Linked DNA regions of Anolis sagrei. The protein of the gene in region 1 purifies or fractionates together with the protein of each later gene. This does not show direct contact. Links are inferred from orthologs where the notes say so. Each region holds a gene or a part of one and is shown on either strand. Other genes may lie near its edges.

Region 1 (10,717 bases):
CATACAATCAAAGCATCCTGGACGGATGGCCATCCAGCCTCTGTTTAAAAGACTCCGAAGAAGGAGCCTCCATCACACCGGGGCAAAGAGTTCCACTGCTGAACAGCTCTCACAGTTAGGAAGTTCTTCCTAATGTTCAGGCGGAATCTCCTTTCCTGTAATTTGAACTCAAAATTCAGAAATAACTACCAGAAAGACCCCTACTTCTTTGCCCATAGGAATCAACAAGTTGGAAGAGACCACAAGAGCCATCCAGTCCATCCCCTGCCATGCAGTAACACAATCAAAGCACACCTGACAGAAGACCATCAAGCCTCTGTTTAAAAGCCTCCAAAGGAGGAGCTTCCACCTCATTCCAAGGCAGAGAGTTTCACTGCTGAATAGCACTCACAGTTAGGAAGTTCTTCCTAATGTTCAGGCGGAATCTCCTTTCCTGTAATTTGAACTCATAATTCAGAAAAATACTACCAAAAAAACCCTACTTCTTTGCAAATAAGAATCAAAAAGTTGGAAGAAACTACAAGGGCCATCCAGTCCCTCCCTTGCCATGAAGGAACACATAATCAAAGCACCCCTGACAGAAGACCATCCAGCCTCTATTCAAAAACCTCTGAAGAAGGAGCCTCCACCACACACTGCAGCAGAGAGTCCCACTGCTCTCACAGTTGGAAAGTTCTTCCAAATATTCAGGCAGAATCTTCTTTTCGGTAATTTCAATTCCAAATTCAGAAAAAAACTACCCTAACAAAACCCTACTTCTTTGCCGATAAGAATCAAAAAGTTGGATGGGACTACAAGGGCCATCCAGTCCATCCCTTGCCATGCAAGAACACACAATCAAAGCACCCCGGACAGAAAACCATCCAGCCTCTGTTCAAGCCTCTAGAGAAGAAGCCTCTACCACATTCCAGGGGAGAGTGTTTCACTGCTGAACAGCTCTCACAGTTAGGAAGTTCTTCCTAATGTTCAGGTGGAATCTCCTTTTCTGTAATTTAAACTCATAATTCAGAAAAAACTACCAACCCCCCCCCCCCCACTTCTTTGCCCATAAGAATCAAAGAGTTGGAAGGGACTAAAAGGGCCGTCCAATCCATTGCTTGCCATGCAGGAACACACAATCAGAGCACCCCGGACGGATGGCCATCCAGACTCTGTTCAAAACCTCCAAAGGAACCTCCGTCACACTCCGGAGCAGAGTGTTTCACTGCTTAACAGTTCTCACAGTTAGGAAGTTCTTCCTAATGTTCAGGCAGAATCTCCTTTCCTGTAATTTGAACACATAATTCAGAAAGAACAACCAAAAGCCCCCCTACTTCTTTGCAAATAAGAATCAAAGAATTGGGAGAGAACACCATCCAGTCCATCCCTTGCCATGCAGGAACACACAATCAAAGCACCCCTGACAGAAGACCATCCAGCCTCTGTTCAAAAGCCTCCAAAGGAGGAGCCTCCACCTCATTCAAGGGTAGAGTGTTTCACTGCTGACCAGCCCTCACAGTTAGGAAGTTCTTCCTAATGTTCAGGCAAAATCTGCTTTCCTGTAATTTGAACTCATAATTCAGAAATTACTACAAAAAAGCCCCTACTTCTTTTCCCATAAAAATCAAAGAGTTAGAAGAGACTACACGGGCCATCCAGTCCATCCCTTGCCATGCAGGAACACACAATCAAAGCACCCTGGACTGATGGCCAGCCAGCTTCTGTTCAAAAGCCTCCAAAGAAGGAGCCTCCACCACACTAAGGAGCAGAGTTTCACTCCTGAACAGCTCTCACAGTTACAAAGTTCTTCCTAATGTTCAGGCAGAATCGGCTTTCCTGTAATTTGAACTCATAATTCAGAAATAACTACCAAAAGCCCCGCTCCTTCTTTGCACAATAAGAATCAAAGAGTTGGGAGAGACCACCATCCAGTTCATCCGTTGCCATGCAGGAACACACAATCAAAGCACCCCTGACAGAAGACCATCAAGCCTCTGTTCAAAAGCCTCCGAAGGAGGAGCCTCAACCACACTCCAGAGCAGAGTTCCACTGCTGAACAGCTCTCACAGTTAGGAAGTCCTTCCTAATGTTTAGGACATAATCTCCTTTCCTGTAATTTGAACTCATAATTCAGAAATTACTACCAAAAAACCCCTACTTCTTTGCCCATAAGGATCAATGAGTTTAAAGAGACTACAAGGCCCATCCAGTCCCTCCTTTGCCAAGCAGGAATACACAATCAAAGCACCCCAGACAGAAAACCACCCAGCCTCTGTTCAAAAGTCTCCGAAGAAGGAGCCTCCGCCACACTCCAGGGTAGAGAGTTCCACTGCTGAACAGCTCTCCGTTAGAAAGTTCTTCCAAATGTTCAGGCGGAATTTGCTTTCCTGTAATTTGAACTCATAATTCAGAAATTACTACCAAAAAACCCCGACTTCCTTGCCCATAAGGATCAAAGAGTTTAAAGAGACTACAAGGCCCATCCAGTCCCTCCTTTGCCAAGCAGGAATACACAATCAAAGCACCCCAGACAGAAAACCATCCAGCCTCTGTTCAAAAGTCTCTGAAGAAGGAGCCTCCGCCACACTCCGGGGTAGAGAGTTCCACTGCTGAACAGCTCCCCGTTAGAAAGTTCTTCCAAATGTTCATGCGGAATCTGCTTTCCTGTAATTTGAACTCATAATTCAGAAATTACTACCAAAACACCCCTACTTCTTTGCCCATAAGGATCAAAGAGTTGGAAATTACTACAAGGGCCATCCAGTCCTCCCTTGCCATGCTAAAACACACCATCAAAGTACCCCAGATGGATGGTCATCCAGACTCTGTTTAAAAGACTCCGAAGAAGGTGCCTCCATCATACTCTGGGCCAGAGGGTTCCACTGCTGAACAGCTCTCACACTTATGAAGTTCTTCCTAATGTCTAAGCAGAATATCCTTTCCTGTAATTAGAACTCATAATTCAGAAATAACTACCTTAGCCCCCCTGCTTCTTTGCCCATAAGAATCAAAGAATTGGGAGAGACTACCATCCAGTCCATCCCTTGCCATGCAGGAACACACAATCAAAGCTCCCCTGAGAGAAGACCATCCAGCCTCCGCTTAAAAGCCTCCCAAGAAGGAGCCTCCACCTCATTCCAGGGCAGAAAGTTTCACTGTTGAACAGCTCTCCCAGTTAGGAAGTTCTTCCTAATGTTGAGGCGGAATCTCCTTTCCTGTAATTTGAACTCATAATATAGAAATAATTGTAAAAAAAAAAAAAAAAACCCTAGTTCTTTCCCCATAAGAATCAAAAAGTTGGGAGAGACCACAAGGACCATCCAGTCCATCCCTTGCCATGCAGGAACACACAATCAAAACACCCCAGGACGATGGCCATTCAGCCTATACTGAGAGAGAAGAATAAATTTCAATTAACGATCCCAATCCAAATCATTCCCTCCTAAGTTATAGATCGAGTCCTTTGGGGGGTGAAAGGGTGGTCTAGGAATGATTTTTTTTAATTATAAATTGAGAACCAGTCCTGATTTCCCCCCGTTCAGGTGCATTCTCCCTCTGAGTGACACAGTAGATAGGACAGGTACGTGCTGCAGCGGCCCTCGGCTGACAGAAACACTTCTCCTCGTCAGCCTGGGCTGCCACACCGTCCAAACAGCCCGACAACAGGTGCGGAGGGCGGGAAAGTAGAGAGGAGGGGGAGGCCCACCTGTCCACTTCTCCCCCCACCCCAAAAAATAAAAGCAGGGCCTTCCTTCGTAGCCCAGGTGCGCGCCATGGATCCCTCTCAGCCAGGCCTCCTCCGGCGCCTTCGCGGTTTCCCTGCCTGATCGGAGGAAGGGAGGAAGCCGGCGCCGCTGCCTCCCGCTTTCCTCCAGGCCGGCCTCCTCCTCCTCCTCTTCAAGATGGCAGCGGCCCTCCTCAGCCTCCCTCTCTTCGCCGCGGAGGCCCCGCCACTCACTCACTCGTTCACTCACTCACTTACCCGGGTCTGGGGCGGTGGCCGCCTCCCCGTCCTCCTCGGGTTCCTGTCCGCAGGGCCTGCAATAATCCCGACCGAGGCCTCCTTTCCCGGCGGCGGCGGCAGTGGCGGGAGGCGCCCTCAGTTCATTCCCCGCCTCAAGCCGCGGAGGTCCGGCTCGGCCCAGCCCTCAGCGGCGTCCCCGCTGTCGTCTTTTCCTCCTCCTCCTCCTCCTTGTTCTTCAGGGCCTTCGTGGCCCCGGAGCGGAGCCAACCACGCACCCCCTCCCTCCCTCCCTCCCTTTTGGAGGGAGGTAGGCAGGCAGGCAAGAAGGGAGGTGGCCCGGCCCGGCGGGCGGATCCGCGGCGTTTCCTGGCCGGGAAGGCTGTCTTTCCTCTCGCTCACAAAATGGCGCGCGTTCCAAACCTGCGCAGCGAACGGCCAGCCTGGGCCCGGACCCAGCGTCGGAGTAGCAGTGGCGGCGGCGGAGGAGGAGGAGGCTTCAACGGCTGCGGTGAGGCCGGGCCGAGCGAGGAAGGCAGAGGCAGGAAGGAAGGAGGACAGCGCGGCGCTTGAACCGAGCCCCCGGGAAACTCCTCGCTCGCTCGCTCGCTCGCTGGCTGGCTGGCTCTCCTCCCCTCTCTCTCTCTCTCTCTCCCTCCCTCCTTCGCTCTCGCTCCTTCCCCTCCCTCCTCACTGCCGGCTTCTCTGGAACTAAGCTCCAGCCACACACACACACTCACTCTCTCACGCGGGCGGGCGGGAGTGCGCGCGCAGCCGCCTCGCTTGCTCCTTTCGGCCTCCGCTGACGAGAATCAGATTTCAAAAAAAATAAAACCTCAACTACCTCAAAATAATATATATATATTTAAAAAAGTAAAGCTTCCGTGAGGGGATTTCTAATATAACCCACTCGGAAATTAGCTCATTTAGGCGGGAAGAGGGGGGAAATTGTAAAAAAAAAAATCTTTTTTTAAAGAGGCCCAACTGACAAAATGGCGGCCGGGAGAGCCTGTTACTATGACAACTGTCAATCACGCCGCCACGGCCCCGCCCCTGCCAGGCGGGAATCCGCGCTTGAGGAAAGAGGAAGGGGTCGAAGGAGGCGGAGCTTGGTCGCCTTGGCGACTAGTGCTTCGTTCCTGTCAATCATGCCGTCAGGGCCCCGCCCGCTGCCAGGCGGGAATCCGCGCTTGAGGAAAGGGAGGGAAAGGAATGGGTCGAAGGAGGCGGAGCTTGGTCGCCTTGGCGACTAGTGCTTCGTTCCTGTCAATCATGCCGTCAGGGCCCCGCCCGCTGCCAGGCGGGAATCCGCGCTTGAGGAAAGGGAGGGAAAGGGAATGGGTCGAAGGAGGCGGAGCTTGGTCGCCTTGGCGACTGCTGCTTCGTTCCTGTTGTTATAAATTCCGAGGAGCCTGCGAGCAGGAGCGCGCGCGCGCACGCACGCGGTACTGGGGCTACCCCTCGCGCCTGCCTGCCTGCCTGCCTGCCTGCCTTCCTGGTGGGTCTTCTCGCGGGTTGCCATGGGGACGGGACGGAGCAGTCCCGCTTCAAGGTGAGGAGAAGGAAGAAAAGAAGGGACCGCAGGCCTCTCACATCCGTGCTCGGTGCCGACTCGCTGTGGTGTTCTTCCGTCTCCGCGGTGTGGTCCAAGTGGCTTCGGACAAGCATCTCCGTCAAATGGATATCATACAAAGGCCGGAGCGAGAGGAAGGGGAGTGTGCCGCTGGGTTTCTTTCTGACAGTGCTGCTGAAAGGGGAAAAGGCGAGGCCCGGCACCCGTTCGCCCGCGGTGGCGCCAAGGCCTCTCTACCGAGGATGGGAGCCATGGGGCCTTGGCGGAGACGGAGCCCCGAAGACCCGGCGCAAGGGAAGGAGGAGGGCCAGGAAGGCGCCCCGAAGGAAGGAAAGAAGGGGCCAGGGCAGCCTCCTCGCTTGCAGGGGCGCCTTCTCGCCCTCGCTGGGAGATTTTAAACACCTCCCAGGCTGGATTTTCGCTGCCTAATAATGCGGTTTGGAACTGCATTATATGGTTCCACACCGCATTATTTGGCCCTAGTTTTGGGGTTGAGTTCCTGCCATTAGGGACCACTTTAATCGCCATGCTACTTTGACAAGCCTCTGCTAATGAAATCTGGGGCCTCGCCAAACTACAACTCCCTGTATTCCAAAGCAGGGGATCATGGCAGTTAAAGTGGCCTCAAATTGCATTAATGGTACACTGCAGATCTATGGGCACACTTGGGCCTTCCCTCCAGGTGTTTTGGACATCAGCTCCCACCATTCCTAACAGCCTCAGGCCCCTTTCTTTTCCCTCTCAGCTGCTTAAGCAATGATGTATACAATGATGTAGTTGTAGATATACTGTATATACTCGAGTATAAGCCTAGTTTTTCAGCCCCCTTTTTAGGCTGACCCCCCCCCCTTGACTTATACTTGAGTCAAGGTTATTTATTATTTTACTCTGTTATTAGTATTATTTGTATTTAATCTTTTATTCTATTTGTTATTATTATTACATTTACATTATTTTACTTTATTATTATCATTATTACATTTATTATTTTAATCTATTATTATTACATTTATTTTTCTCTATTATAATTTTATTACATTTTATTTACTCTATTATTATTATTTTATTACATTTATTATTTTACTCCATTATTATTATTACTATTATTACTGTTATTACATTTGTTATGTTACTCTATTATTACTGTTATTCTTACATTTCCATTATTTTGCTCTCTTTATTATTGGAAGGATACACAAGCACATTTACGCTGAAGAAGGTTAGAGTAATGGTTTAATCAGAGTTTGACATAAATTACAGTTTTATGTAAAAATTCAAAAACATTTCACCTCCTGATGCCTCCATTAATTTAATTTCATTTATATCTATTTTTTATTTTGAAATTGGCCCATAGCTGCTGGATTTCCCACCCTCGGTTTATACTCGAGTTCATACTATTTCCCAATTTTTTGTGATAAAATTAGACACCTCAGCTTATATTCGGGTCGGCTTATACTCAAGTGTGTGTGTGTGTGTATAGTAAAAAAATCAAGGTTTGCTTTTGGGATTTTTTAAAAAAATAGGTATTTTCAAGAGGTTGAATCCATAAAGCGGACTGTTTCCCATTGGCACTGTTAGCCACGCCCTAATATGGGATGGGCAGCATAGATAACCTGATGAGGCAGGATTATGGAAGCTACAAAATACATCTGAACAGGCAAAATGACAAAGCCCTGTCCCAATATAATATCAGAGATCAATTGTCCTTAGGGTAGGCATGGGCAAACCTGACTTGAGGGCCACATGCTAGCATTCCCTGCTAAGAGGACTGGCAGCCTGGTGATGGAAGGAAGGAGGGGAAGGATGGAAGGAAGGAAAAGGGAGAGGAGGAGAAAGGAAAAAGAGAAGGAAGAAAGGGTGGAAGGAAGGAGGGAGAAAGAGGGAAGAAATGGAGGGAAGAAAGAGAAGGAAGGAAGGACAAAATGGAAGGGAGGGAAGGAGAGAGAGAGAAGGAAGACAGGATACCGAGAGAGAGGAGAGTCTGAGAAAAGAGCCCAAGGGGCCAAATCCAACCCCCAGATCTGGGTTTACCCATACCTGCTTTAAGGCAACTAAGTGTAATAAGGGCAAAGATTCCAAACCAATTATTGCTTATGCAGAAGAGAAGATTTCTGCAAGTCTTGCTTGTCATGTAACCAGCATCTGCTGAACTTCCATACAAGCACTAAAACAGTATTTCTCAACATTTTTTTTTACCTAGAAGAACCTCAGAAATAATTTTCTGGGCTCAGAGGCTGCAACTACACTGTAGAATTAATGCAGGTTGACATCACTTTAATTGCCATGGCTCAGTGCTGTGGAGTCTTGGGAGTTGTAATTCTGCAAGGTCTTTAGCCTTCTGTGCCAAAGTGTGTGGGTGCCTCTCTAGGGTTCCACAGCACTGAGCATGGCATTTACTCCACAGCATAGATAAACCAAAGAATCCTTGCATTAAAATTATTATACTTATAGCTTATATAAATGTTTGTTTTTTCAGTCATAGTCTCTTGCAGGAACCAGTGACCTCACACAGAACCCTGCTTGATAAGCCCTGCATTTTTTCATGCCACTTATAATTGGATATGCTGCATCTCATTCCTTCCTTCTCTTTCCTCCCCGCATTCCTTCCCTCTTTCTCCCTTCTTCCTTCCACCCTTTCTTCCTTTAAGAAACACTTAGGCATACTTGCCCTACTAAGTGAGGGCATGCCTAGTTCAGTCACAGGCCATGACTTGTAAGATTTTTGAACTATGAACCATATCTTCAGAGGTTTCTCAACTGTGAGAGCCAAGGCTGCTGTATGATTTGAAAACCTTACTGCTGTCAGCAGCACTACAGGAGCCCCCGGTGGCGCAATGGGTTAAAACCTTGTGCTAGCAGGTTGGTGGTTCGAATCCAGGGAGCGGAGTGAGCTTCTGTTTGTCAGCTTCAGCTTCCCATGCAGAGACATGAGAGAAGTGTCCCACAGGATGGGAAAACATCCCGGTGTCCCCTGGGCAACGGTTGGTTTGAACCCAGAGAGCTGGGTGAGCTCCCGTCTGTCAGCTCCACCTTCTCATGCAGGGACATGAGAGAAGCCTCCCACAGAATGGGTGTCCCCTGGGCAATATCCTTGCAGATGGCCAATTCTCTTACACCAGAAGCGACTTGCAGTTTCTCAAGTCGCTCCTGACACGAAAAAAGCAACACTACACAATCTTGTACATATATTTTTCAGCCATTAAGTGAATGAAGCAAACGTTCCATATATGAAACAAACCACATAGCACTCTCTTATCATTGTAAGGATATGTGTAGATACAGTTAATGTATAATTGCTCTATCTTGGACTACATGGCCCTTGTGATCTCTTCCAACTCTATCCTTCTGTGATCCTTTTTTCAAGGATTTGGGAATATGGAAAATCCAGACAATTACATGTTAAAATTGTATCCCTCCTGTGTATTTCTGCTGCTTCTTCCATCTTTATCTATATAAATAAAAATGTAATATTCATTTGTGGGATTAACAGAACTTGAAAACCACTGGACGAATTGACCCCAAATTTGCACACAAGACACCTACCATAGCAATCTATGTCCTTGCTATGTCCTCAAAAAAAATCAACCAAAAAAAAAACCGGAAAGTGCTTAAACCCCCACAAGCCTGAATGGCTATATAGACCACGCGTTAAAACGACACCTTCCTGCACCCCCCCCCCCGCACGAAGGGGGAAAAAACCAACAGTTGAGAGAGAACTGCTGGGGAGAGGGAGGGAAAGAAAGGTGACCCACAGATACTTTTCTCAAGCCCCTGCCTTTCCCTTCCCAAACACTTTTATTTATATAGATAATTTGAAATCACTGTTCCAGGAGGGAGTGGGAAGATGGGGGGGAGGGCATGGGTAATGGGTGATACACATCTAAGGAATACAGAAAGTGACATTTGAGGTAAAGTGACTTTTGGAATAATGTATATCGAAATAAGATTTGTATGGCAAAAGTTTGTTAATTAAATGGATGCATCAATAAATTATTTTAAAAGCTGATTTGAACTGCATTTCTTAATACATTTGCATCGTTGTAAACTCCAATGAATGCAATAATATTTATAAATATTGGTACAAGACCTAAATAGTGAATGACAGCAATTCAGCATCTGGCTATAGAGTAGTCAATGGCTTAGTCTGTCCTTAAGTGCCTTCTAGTTTATAGGGGACTGTACCGATAATGACCATATTTAAAACAAAACTTCTAAGGAGCAGGAGTAATGTTTGAAATACATGGAAAGAAAAATCATCAAACTGGTTTGCAGTATATTTACTCTAAAAAACTACTGAGGCAAAGTAGCTCAAGCACTTCATTTTTCTATGGGGAGCCTTTATATTTATTTATTTTTATTTATTTACTATTCTTGTATACCGCTGTATCTCAAGCCTGAGGGCGACTCACAGCGGTTTCCAAACAGCAAACAGCAAAGACAATAAAAACAGCAATAATTAATATGCAATAACAGTTAAATTACACATTTCCATTACTAGCTAATAAACAATCATCAATACACAGTTATCACAAATCCCACCCCCGATCACCTCATCATCCAAACGTGATCCAAATTCGTCATCCATTGTTCCGTTCCTATGTTCAAATTACCAGAATTGCACTGAATTACTCAAAACGCCTGCACAAACATCCAGGTCTTCAACTTTCTACGGAATGTCATGAGAGATGGTGCCAGTCTACAGGAAGGGCGTTCCACAGCCGAGGAGCCACCACCGAGAAGGCCCTATCTCAACCGTGCTTGAGAGGCTGGCGGGATCGAGAGCAGGGCCTCCCCGGAAGATCTCAAAGTCCGGGTGGGTTCATAGGCCGAGATGCGGTCAGATAGGTATCTTGGGCCGGAACCGTTTAGGGCTTTATAGGCCAGTACCAACACCTTGAATTGGGCCTGGTAGCAAATTGGCAGCCAGTGGAGCTGGTGCAACGGGGGTTGTGTGCTCCCTGCGCTCCGCTCCCGTTAGAATCATGGCTGCCGCGCGTTGGACTAGTTGCAGCTTCCGGGCCGTCTTCAGGGGCAGCCCCACGTAGAGAGCGTTGCAGTGGTCTAGGCGGGATGTGACAAGAGCGTGTACCACCGTGGCCAAGTCAGACTTCCCAGTTTGCAAACCAGTTTTTAAAAATTAATGAATACATATTACTTTAATGCATCTGGCGTTAATACAGTATATAGTGTTGAACTTTAACCTG
Region 2 (10,200 bases), on another chromosome or scaffold:
TAAATGTGGAGATGAGGGATGAGAAGAAAAGCGGGAGGTAATCTTGGGAGATTTCGGAGGGAGACTCAGGCCCCTTCCAAACAGGTATAAAATCCACATTGAACTGGATTATATGGCAGTTTGGACTTAGGGCCCTTCCACACTGCCATATATCCCAGTTCAAAGTGGATAATGTGGGGTTTTATTCAGCTATGTGGAAGTGGCCTCAGATAATCCAGTTCAAACAGGATATTTTGGATGATCTGCCTTGATATTCTGGGTGATGTGGCTGTGTGGAATGGCCCTGAAAGTCGCCTGATGTCATATTAATAACTTAATGCTTTTTAAGATGGAGATGAAGGATGGGGAGAAGGGCAGAACATAATTTCAGATATTTGGGAGGGAGACTTAACTTGTAATGATATGATGTCATACTAATACCAATTGTTTGTTTGTTTTAAATGTGGAGATGAGGAGAAAAGCAGGAGATAATTTTGGAGATTTAGGAGGGAGACTCAACCTGAAGTGATATGATGTCACATGAGTACAATGGTTTCTGATTGTGGAGATGAGAGATGAGGAAAAAAAGCAGGACATACTTTTGGAGATTTGGAAGGAAGACTCAGATGGCTTTGTGGAAGGGCCCTGATGTCTTATTGATAACTTAATGCTTTTTAAGATGGAGATTGGGAATGGGGAGAAAGGCTGAATATAAATTTTGTGATTTGGGATATTACGGATGATCTGCCATCATATTCTGGGTGAGATGGCTGTGTGGAAGGGCCCAGATGTCTTATTGATTACTTAATGCTTTTTACGATAAAGATTAGGAATGGGAAGAAAGGCTGAACATAAATTTTATGATTTAGGATGTCGTGGATGACCTGCCATGATATTCTGGGTGAGATGGCTGTGTGGAAGGACCCTGATGTCTTACTGGTAACGTAATGCTTTTTACGATAGAGATTAGAAATGGGGAGAAAGGCTGAACATACATTTTGTGATTTGGGATATTGTAGATGACCTGCCATGATATTCTGGGTGATATGGCTGTGTGGAAGGGCCCAGATGTCTTATTGATTACTTAATGCTTTTTACGATAAAGATTAGGAATGGGAAGAAAGGCTGAACATAAATTTTATGATTTAGGATGTCGTGGATGACCTGCCATGATATTCTGGGTGAGATGGCTGTGTGGAAGGACCCTGATGTCATATTGATAACTTAATGCTTTTTAAAACGGAGATTAGGAATGGGAAAAAAGGCAGGGCATAATTTCCAAGATTTGGGAGGGAGAACTCAAAACCTGTAGTGACAAGATGTCATTTTAATCACAATGCCTTCTTTTAAATGTGGAGATGAGGGATGGGCAGAAAGGCTGAACATAAATTTTGTGATTTGGGATATTGTGGATGACCTGCCATGATATTCTGGGTGAGATGGCTGTATGGAAGGGCCCTGATGTCTTATTGATAACTTAATGCTTTTTACGATAGAAATTAGGAATGGCTAGAAAGGTGAACATACATTTTATGATTTGGGATATTGTGGATGATCTGCCATGATATTCTGGGTGAGACGGCTGTGCAGAAGGGCCCATTATATTCTGGGTGGGATGGCTGTGTGGAAGGGCCCTGATGTCTTATTGATTACTTAATGCTTTTTACGATAGAGATTAGGAATGGGAAGAAAGGCTGAACATAAATTTTATGATTTGGGATATTGCGGATGATCTGCCATCATATTCTGGGTGAGATGGCTGTGTGGAAGGGCCCTGATGTCTTACTGGTAACGTAATGCTTTTTACGATAGAGATTAGAAATGGGGAGAAAGGCTGAACATACATTTTGTGATTTGGGATATTGTAGATGACCTGCCATGATATTCTGGGTGATATGGCTGTGTGGAAGGGCTCAGATGTCTTATTGATTACTTAATGCTTTTTACGATAAAGATTAGGAATGGGAAGAAAGGCTGAACATAAATTTTATGATTTAGGATGTCGTGGATGACCTGCCATGATATTCTGGGTGAGATGGCTGTGTGGAAGGACCCTGATGTCATATTGATAACTTAATGCTTTTTAAAACGGAGATTAGGAATGGGAAAAAAGGCAGGGCATAATTTCCAAGATTTGGGAGGGAGAACTCAAAACCTGTAGTGACAAGATGTCATTTTAATCACAATGCCTTCTTTTAAATGTGGAGATGAGGGATGGGCAGAAAGGCTGAACATAAATTTTGTGATTTGGGATATTGTGGATGACCTGCCATGATATTCTGGGTGAGATGGCTGTATGGAAGGGCCCTGATGTCTTATTGATAACTTAATGCTTTTTACGATAGAAATTAGGAATGGGAAGAAAGGCTGAATATAAATTTTGTGATTTGGGAGGTTGTGGATGACCTGCCATGATATTCTGGGTGAGATGGCTGTGTAGAAGGGCCCATGATATTCTGGGTGGGATGGCTGTGTGGAATGGCCCTGATGTCTTATTGATAACTTAACGCTTTTTACGATAGAGATTAGGAATGGGAAGAAAGGCTGAACATAAATTTTGTGATTTGGGATATTGTGGATGACCTGCCATGATATTCTGGGTGAGATGGCTGTGTAGAAGGGCCCATTATATTCTGGGTGGGATGGCTGTGTGGAAGGGCCCTGATGTCTTATTGATAACTTAACGCTTTTTACGATAGAGATTAGGAATGGGAAGAAAGGCTGAACATAAATTTTGTGATTTGGGATGTTGTGGATGACCTGCCATGATATTCTGGGTGAGATGGCTGTATAGAAGGGCCCATGATATTCTGGGTGGGATGGCTGTGTGGAATGGCCCTGATGTCTTATTGATAACTTAACGCTTTTTACGATAGAGATTAAGAATGGGAAGAAAGGCTGAACATAAATTTTGTGATTTGGGATGTTGTGGATGACCTGCCATGATATTCTGGATGAGATGGCTGTGTAGAAGGGCCCATGATATTCTGGGTGGGATGGCTGCGTGGAAGGGCCCAGATGTCTTATTGATAACTTAACGCTTTTTACGATAGAGATTAGGAATGGGGAGAAAGGCTGAACACAAATTTTGTGATTTGGGATATTGTGGATGGCCTGCCATGATATTCTGGGTGAGATGGCTGTGTAGAAGGGCCCATGATATTCTGGGTGGGATGGCTGCGTGGAAGGGCCCTGATGTCTTATTGATAATTTAACGCTTTTTACGATAGAGATTAGGAATGGGAAGAAAGGCTGAACATAAATTTTATGATTTGGGATGTTGTGGATGACCTGCCTTGATATTCTGGGTGAGATGGCTGTATAGAAGGGCCCATGATATTCTGGGTGGGATGGCTGTGTGGAATGGCCCTGATGTCTTATTGATAACTTAACGCTTTTTACGATAGAGATTAAGAATGGGAAGAAAGGCTGAACATAAATTTTGTGATTTGGGATGTTGTGGATGACCTGCCATGATATTCTGGATGAGATGGCTGTGTAGAAGGGCCCATGATATTCTGGGTGGGATGGCTGCGTGGAAGGGCCCAGATGTCTTATTGATAACTTAACGCTTTTTACGATAGAGATTAGGAATGGGGAGAAAGGCTGAACACAAATTTTGTGATTTGGGATATTGTGGATGGCCTGCCATGATATTCTGGGTGAGATGGCTGTGTAGAAGGGCCCATGATATTCTGGGTGGGATGGCTGCGTGGAAGGGCCCTGATGTCTTATTGATAATTTAACGCTTTTTACGATAGAGATTAGGAATGGGAAGAAAGGCTGAACATAAATTTTATGATTTGGGATGTTGTGGATGACCTGCCTTGATATTCTGGGTGAGATGGCTGCGTGGAAAGGGCCCTGAAAGTTGCCTGATGTCATGTTCATAACTTAATGCTTTTTCAGGTGGAGATGATGGATGGGGAGAAAGGCTGAACATAATTTTAGATATTTAGGAGGGTGAGTCTACCTGTAGTGCCATGATGTCATACTAATAACTTAATGTGTGTGCATGCTTTATGTGAAGAGCAACCCAGGAGAGGATCTGGAAGGTTTGGGAGGAGGGTGGGCGACGTTTTCCTGATCAGGGGTTAATGTTGAGGGCAGGAGGGGGGGGCAAGGACCCCCTTGAAGCCCTCCTTCCCTCCCTCCCTCCCTCCACATGGCTCCTTCCAGCCTCTTGGGAGAAGGTCCTGGGCGAAGAGTTCCACGGGAGGCACTTCCCTGGCTCGGCAGCAGCCTTTTCCCGGCGGGGAGGCGGAGGGAGAGGCTCCTCGGCCGGCTGGCCTGCCTGCCTGCTTCCTCCCGCCGCCCGGCGTAGGCCTCTCTCTCTCTCTGGCCCGCGGGGTCCCTACCTGGACGGGTTCCTGCAGCACCGTCATCCTCCCCGGCTTCCCCTCAGGGACAGGACCCGGATGAGGGAGGTGGGCCCAGGGCGCCCCCTCCTCTCTCTGTTCCCCCCTCAGACTCCGCCTCCGTGGGTGACGCGGGAATAGTAGTAGTAGTAGTAGTTGTACTTGTAGTAGTAGCAGCGGCCACCCGCACCCCGTCTCATTTAAACTGGCTGCGACCGTTAACCGGGCCGCGCAGGAGGGAAAGGGAAAGGAAGGAAGGGAAGGCCCCGGCCCGTCAGGAGCCGAATCTTCCCGAGCCGCCGACGGAAAGGCACGGAAAGACCCGACCTCGGCGAGGCCTCCTCCTCCGCGCTTTTCCGAGCGGACACGGAATGAGCCGAACGCGTCCCGAACGCCTCCACGGAAAGAGCCGAAAGGAGACGAAGGCTTCCCAACGCCTGCCCCCAAGCGGCCGCGGACTCGTCCTTCTTCGCCCCGTTTGACGTAAGTCGCCGAAGTGGCGCGAAACGGCCCTGCTTTGAAATGGGAGAGAAAAAAAGAATCTCCATCTTGAAAATATGTTTAGGAGTCATTGTCTCTCATCATATAGGTATGACATTTGGCCTGAATGGTGTAATTAATGTATGCATATGGTAAACATGCATCAAAATAAGCGTTTGCAGTGGGAAACGAGAATACCCGGAAGTAATGTATGGGTAAGATAAACATGCCTCCTAATAAGCGTTTACAGTGGGACACGAGAATATCCGGAAATAAACGAAGACGTTCGGCGCCTGTTACGGAAATAGACGAAGTGGGTCGAGGCAAAAAAAATACCCGATTGCTGTCAATACCTTTCCCCTTGAGTATTGGGAGTTGGAATAGGACAACCTGCCGAGCAGGATTTTGTGCTTACAACAGGTTGTTTCACCTACAAACACCCCACCCAGAAGCAGAGTGTTTCCAGCCTTCCTGAACTGGAAACAACCCATTGAATGTGTTGTTGAAAGCTTTCATATCCGGGTTGCTGTGAGCACCACCTCCAGAGCCAGAAAGGAAAGGAGAAGCCTTTGCTTTTGTTTATGCATTTGTTGTCTCATTGTCTGTCATTGTAATCAAGGTATTGAATGTTTGCCTGTGTCTGTTTACACACACACACACACATATTTATTTCGGTTGCTTCTACCCCGCCCTTCTCACCCCGGAGGGGACTCAGGGCGGCTTACAAAAGCAACGCACAATTCGATGCCCGCATCACATAACAGCAATAAGACAAATAACATCAGGTAACAGAAACGGCAATTCTAGCAGTAACATCAATTAATAGAGACAGTAATTATTGTAAGGCAAAAACAACCATAAAAGCAGTAAAACCAATACAAACCATTCTTCTCATTGACGGTCAGCGTTTCGCAATCTCATAGTTCAAATTCCAATCCACAATTGTCAGTCCTTTCAGTCCTATCCATCTGGTTGTCCAAATCTAATTGTCACATTGCCCAAAGGCCTGGTCCCACAGCCACGTCTTTACCTTCCTCCTGAAGGAGAGGAGAGGATGCCCTAATTTCCCCCGTGAGTGAGTTCCACAGGTGAGGGGCCACCACTGAGAAGGCCCTGCTCCTCGTCCCCACCAGCCTCACTTGTGAAAGCGGTGGGGTCGAGGGTAAGGCCTCCCCAGATGATCTCACATTACGGGGCGGGACGTAGAGGGAGATACGTTCGGACAGATACACTGGACCGGAATCGTAAAAGGTTTTGTAGGTCAAAACCAGCACCTTGAATTGTGCTCGGAACTGAACCGGCAGCCAGTTGAGCTGACACAGCAGGGGGGTGGTGTGCTCCCTGTATGTCGCTCTGATGACCAATCTGGCTGCCGCTCGCTGGACCAGTTGAAGTTTCCGAACAGTCTTCAAGGGCAACCCCACGTAGAGTGTGTTGCAGTAGTCTATTCGGGATGTAACAAGAGCGTGGACCACTGTGGTCAGATCAGACTTCCCAAGGTACGGGAACACACACACACACACACACACACACACTGTAATCCACTCTGAGTCCCCTCAGAATATAAATATAAATAAAGGCAGAATATACATATAAATAAAGGCAGTTTATAAACAAAGTGTTGTTGTTGTTGTTGTTGTTGTTGTTGTTGTTGTTGTTGTTGTTGTTATCTCCCTCTTTTCCCCTCTTCCCTGGTAAGAGAACTATGCAAAACTGTATTGAAATAACATTTTTTTCTAATCTGCCACTGGAGGAGAACCTTTGCACCTACGTTTTCTTTATTAATGAACAGTCAGGGAAGAGGACTCATATGTACAAGAATCAAGCACCCAAAGAAACGTGAACTATATAAAATGTGCTTGAGAAACTGTTGGAGTGTTGAACATCCAGGAAGCCAAGCCTCTTTAGAGATGTAATTGAAGTGTTTGCATAAGCGTTGTCTTTTGTCTCTGTCACCTAGACTATTTCAGATCATTTTCCAAGTCTTGCCCCATTTCTCCTAGGACAGTGCTTCTCAACCTGGGGGTTGGGACCCCTGGGGGGGGGTCACGAGGGAGTGTCAGGGGGGTCACCAAAGACCATCTGAAAACATAGGATTTTCTGTCGGTCATAGGGGTTCCGTGTGGGAAGTTTGGCCCAAGTCTATCATTGGTGGGGATCAGAATAATCTTTTATTGTAGGTGAACTGGGGGGGGGGGGGTCACGAGGGAGTGTCAGGGGGGTCGCCAAAGACCATCTGAAAACATAGGATTTTCTGTCGGTCATAGGGGTTCCGTGTGGGAAGTTTGGCCCAAGTCTATCATTGGTGGGGATCAGAATAATCTTTTATTGTAGGTGAACTATAAATCCCAGCAACTACAACTCCCAAATGCCAAGGTCTATTTTCCCCAAACTCCACCAGTGTTCATTCACATTGGGCATGTTGACTATTCATGGCAAGTTTGGTCCAGATCCATCATTGTGTGAGTCCATAGTGCTCTCTGGATATAGGTGAACTACAACTCCAAACCTCAAGGCCCACCAAACCCTTCCAGTATTTTCTGTTAGTCAAGAAAATTCTGTGTGGCAAGATTGGTTCAATTCCATTGTTGGAGTTCATAATGCTCTTTGATTGTAGGTGAACTATAAATCTCAGCCACTTCAACTCCCAAATGACAACATCAATCCCCTGCCAACCCCACCAGTATTCAAATTGGGGCATATCAGGTATTTGTGCCAAATTTGGTCCAGCGAATGAAAATACATCCTGGATATCATATATTTATATTATGATTCATAACAGTAGCAAAATTGTAGTTGTGAAGTAGCAACAGAAATAATGTGATGGTTGGGGGCCACCACAACATGAGGAACTGTATTAAGGGGTCGCGGCATTAGAAAGGTTGAGAACCACTGTCCTAGGAGGATCTTCCAAATGGTTCCAGCTTCAAGTGGACGAATAGCAGCTTTCCATTTTTCCCACCACAAGGGAGACTCCATGCACCCCTGACATCACACAGAGTCCCCAGCTCAGATCCTTACTTGACTATTCCTGAGCCAATCAGGGAAGGGAGTAGGTCTTCTGAATGGCTGCCAATGGGGATAAAATGCTTTGCACTGTATTATATGTTATACTAGCTTGGGGACCCGGCGTTGCCCGGGTTATTAGAGAAAGTGGGTAATAGCGGTTCTGTATGCCAAGTTTGGTCTTTATTGGTCTTTGGATAACAGCTGCATTATTTTCAGGAAGTGAGTGAAGGTACTTGAAGTCCCATCATCCATGGGCCATCCTCCTACAAACAGCAGCAGGATATAGAGTGGGTCATGGGGGCTCTGTGTGCCAAGTTTGGCCTTTATCAGTCATTAGATGAGGGTGGCAGTGGTGTCAGTAAGTGAGTGAAGGTACTGCAAGTCCCATCATCCAAAGTCCATCCCCTTTCAAACTGCAGCAGACTGTAGAGTGGATCATGGGGGCTCTGTGTGCCAAGTGTGGTCTTGATTGGTCATTAGAAGAGGGTTGCAGCAATTTTTGCAAGGGAGTGGAGGTACTTGAAGTCCCATCATCCATGGTCTGTCCTCCTCCAAACTGCAGCAAGATGTAGAGTGGGTCATTGGAGCTCGATGTGGCAAGTTTAGTCTTGAGTAGTCATTGGCGAGGGTCTCAGTGGTCTCAGGAAGTGAGCAAAGGTACTGCAAGTCCCATCATCCATCTCCAAATTTTTCCAAACAACACCAGGACGTAAAGTGGGTCATGAGAGGTCTATGTGCCAAGTTTGGTCTTGATCCGTCATTGGATGAGGTTTGCAGAGGTCTCAGAATGTGAGTGAACGTACTGGAAGTTCCATCATTCATGGTCCACCCTTCTTCAAAACTGCAGCAGGATGTAGAGTGGGTCATGGGGGCTCTGTGTGCCAACGTTGGTCTTGATTGGCCATTAGATGAATTTTGCAGCAGTCTTGGGTAGTGGAGGTACTTGAAGTCCCATCATCCATGGTCTGTCGTCCCCCAAACTGCTCCGGGATGTAGAGTGGGTCATTGAAGCTCCATGTGCCAAGTTTAGTCTTGATGAATCATTGGCGAGGGTCTCAGTGGTCTCAGGAAGTGAGTGAAGTGACTGCAAGTCCCATCATCCACTGTCAGATTCTTCCAAACCGCACCAGGATGTAGAGTGAGTTATGCAGGCTCTCTGTGTAAATTGTGGTCCTGATCCATCATCGTTGGCAGTTGTAATGGTCTTAGGAAGGGAGTGCAGGTATTGGAAGTCCCATCGTCCATGGTGCATCCTCCTTCAAACTGCACTTGGATGTAGAATGCGTCATGGAGACTCAGTGTGCCAAGTTTGGTATTTATTGGTAATTGGATGAGGGTTGCAGTGGTATGAAGAATTGAGCAATGGTACTGCAAGTCCCATAATCCATGGTCCATCCCCGGCCAAACCACACCAGGACGTAAAGTGGGTCATGAGTGGTCTATGTGTGAAGTTTGGCCCTGATCAGTCATTGGCTAAGGTTAACAGCGGTCTCAGAATGTGAGTGGTGGTACTGCAAGTCCCATCATCCATGGTTCATAGTCCTCCAAACTGCAGTAGGATGTAGAGTGGGTGATGGGGGCTCTGTGTGCCTATTTCGGTCTGTATTGGGAGTGTTCTGACCCAGCCCCCTTTGGCCTTTCCTTTCCTCTCTTTGTCATCTCGGAATGTTGGATTTGAGGCTGGCCAATCAGAGACCATATGCAAATTTCCTTCTGTCATGCCCTGTTTCTGCCATGAACCCTCTTCTCCACCAGGGGCTCCTATTGAAGCTGCCCAATCAGAGACCATATGCAAATAGCACCACAGCGGCAGCCAATCAGAACGCTGGCACATACACCGCCCTCCACAATTCCTCTGTCCTATACAAACAAACACTCTTCTTTATTATATACTAGCTTGGGGACCCGGCGCTGCCCGGGTTATTAGAGAAAGTGGGTAATGGCGGTTCTGTATGCCAAGTTTGGTCTTTATTGGTCATTGGATAATGGCTGCATTGTTTTCAGGAAGTGAGTGAAGGTACTTGAAGTGCCATCATCCATGGCCCATCCTCCTACAAACAGCAGCAGGATATAGAGTGGGTCATGGGGGCTCCGGTTGCAAGTTTGGTCTTTATCAGTCATTAGATGAGGGTGGCAGTGGTGTCAGTAAGTGAGTGAAGGTACTGCAAGTCCCATCATCCAAAGTCCATCGTCTTTCAAACAGCAGCAGAATGTAGAGTGGATCATGGGGGCTCTATGTGGCAAGTTTGGTCTTGATTGGTCATTAGAAGAGGGTTGCAGCAATCTTCGGAAGGGAGTGGAGGTACTTGAAGACCCATCATCCATGGTCTGTCCTCCAAACTGCACCAGGATGTAGAGTGGGTCATTGGAGCTC

The links.
Region 2: the proteins of DYRK1A (region 1) and CDC27 purify together in Homo sapiens (affinity purification with mass spectrometry; 3 studies listed by BioGRID and IntAct, with this or other methods). This does not show direct contact. The link is inferred for Anolis sagrei from reciprocal best matches to the Homo sapiens genes DYRK1A and CDC27.

Annotation. Positions count from the first base shown.
Region 1 is NC_090023.1:71,920,468-71,931,184, reverse strand, and holds the start of DYRK1A (dual specificity tyrosine-phosphorylation-regulated kinase 1A), read right to left. Parts: upstream 4,746-10,717; 5' UTR 3,962-4,745; intron 1-3,961. UniProt on the Homo sapiens protein: Dual-specificity kinase which possesses both serine/threonine and tyrosine kinase activities. Exhibits a substrate preference for proline at position P+1 and arginine at position P-3.
Region 2 is NC_090026.1:44,042,593-44,052,792, reverse strand, and holds the start of CDC27 (cell division cycle protein 27 homolog), read right to left. Parts: upstream 4,654-10,200; 5' UTR 4,365-4,653; coding exon 4,338-4,364; intron 1-4,337. UniProt on the Homo sapiens protein: Component of the anaphase promoting complex/cyclosome (APC/C), a cell cycle-regulated E3 ubiquitin ligase that controls progression through mitosis and the G1 phase of the cell cycle.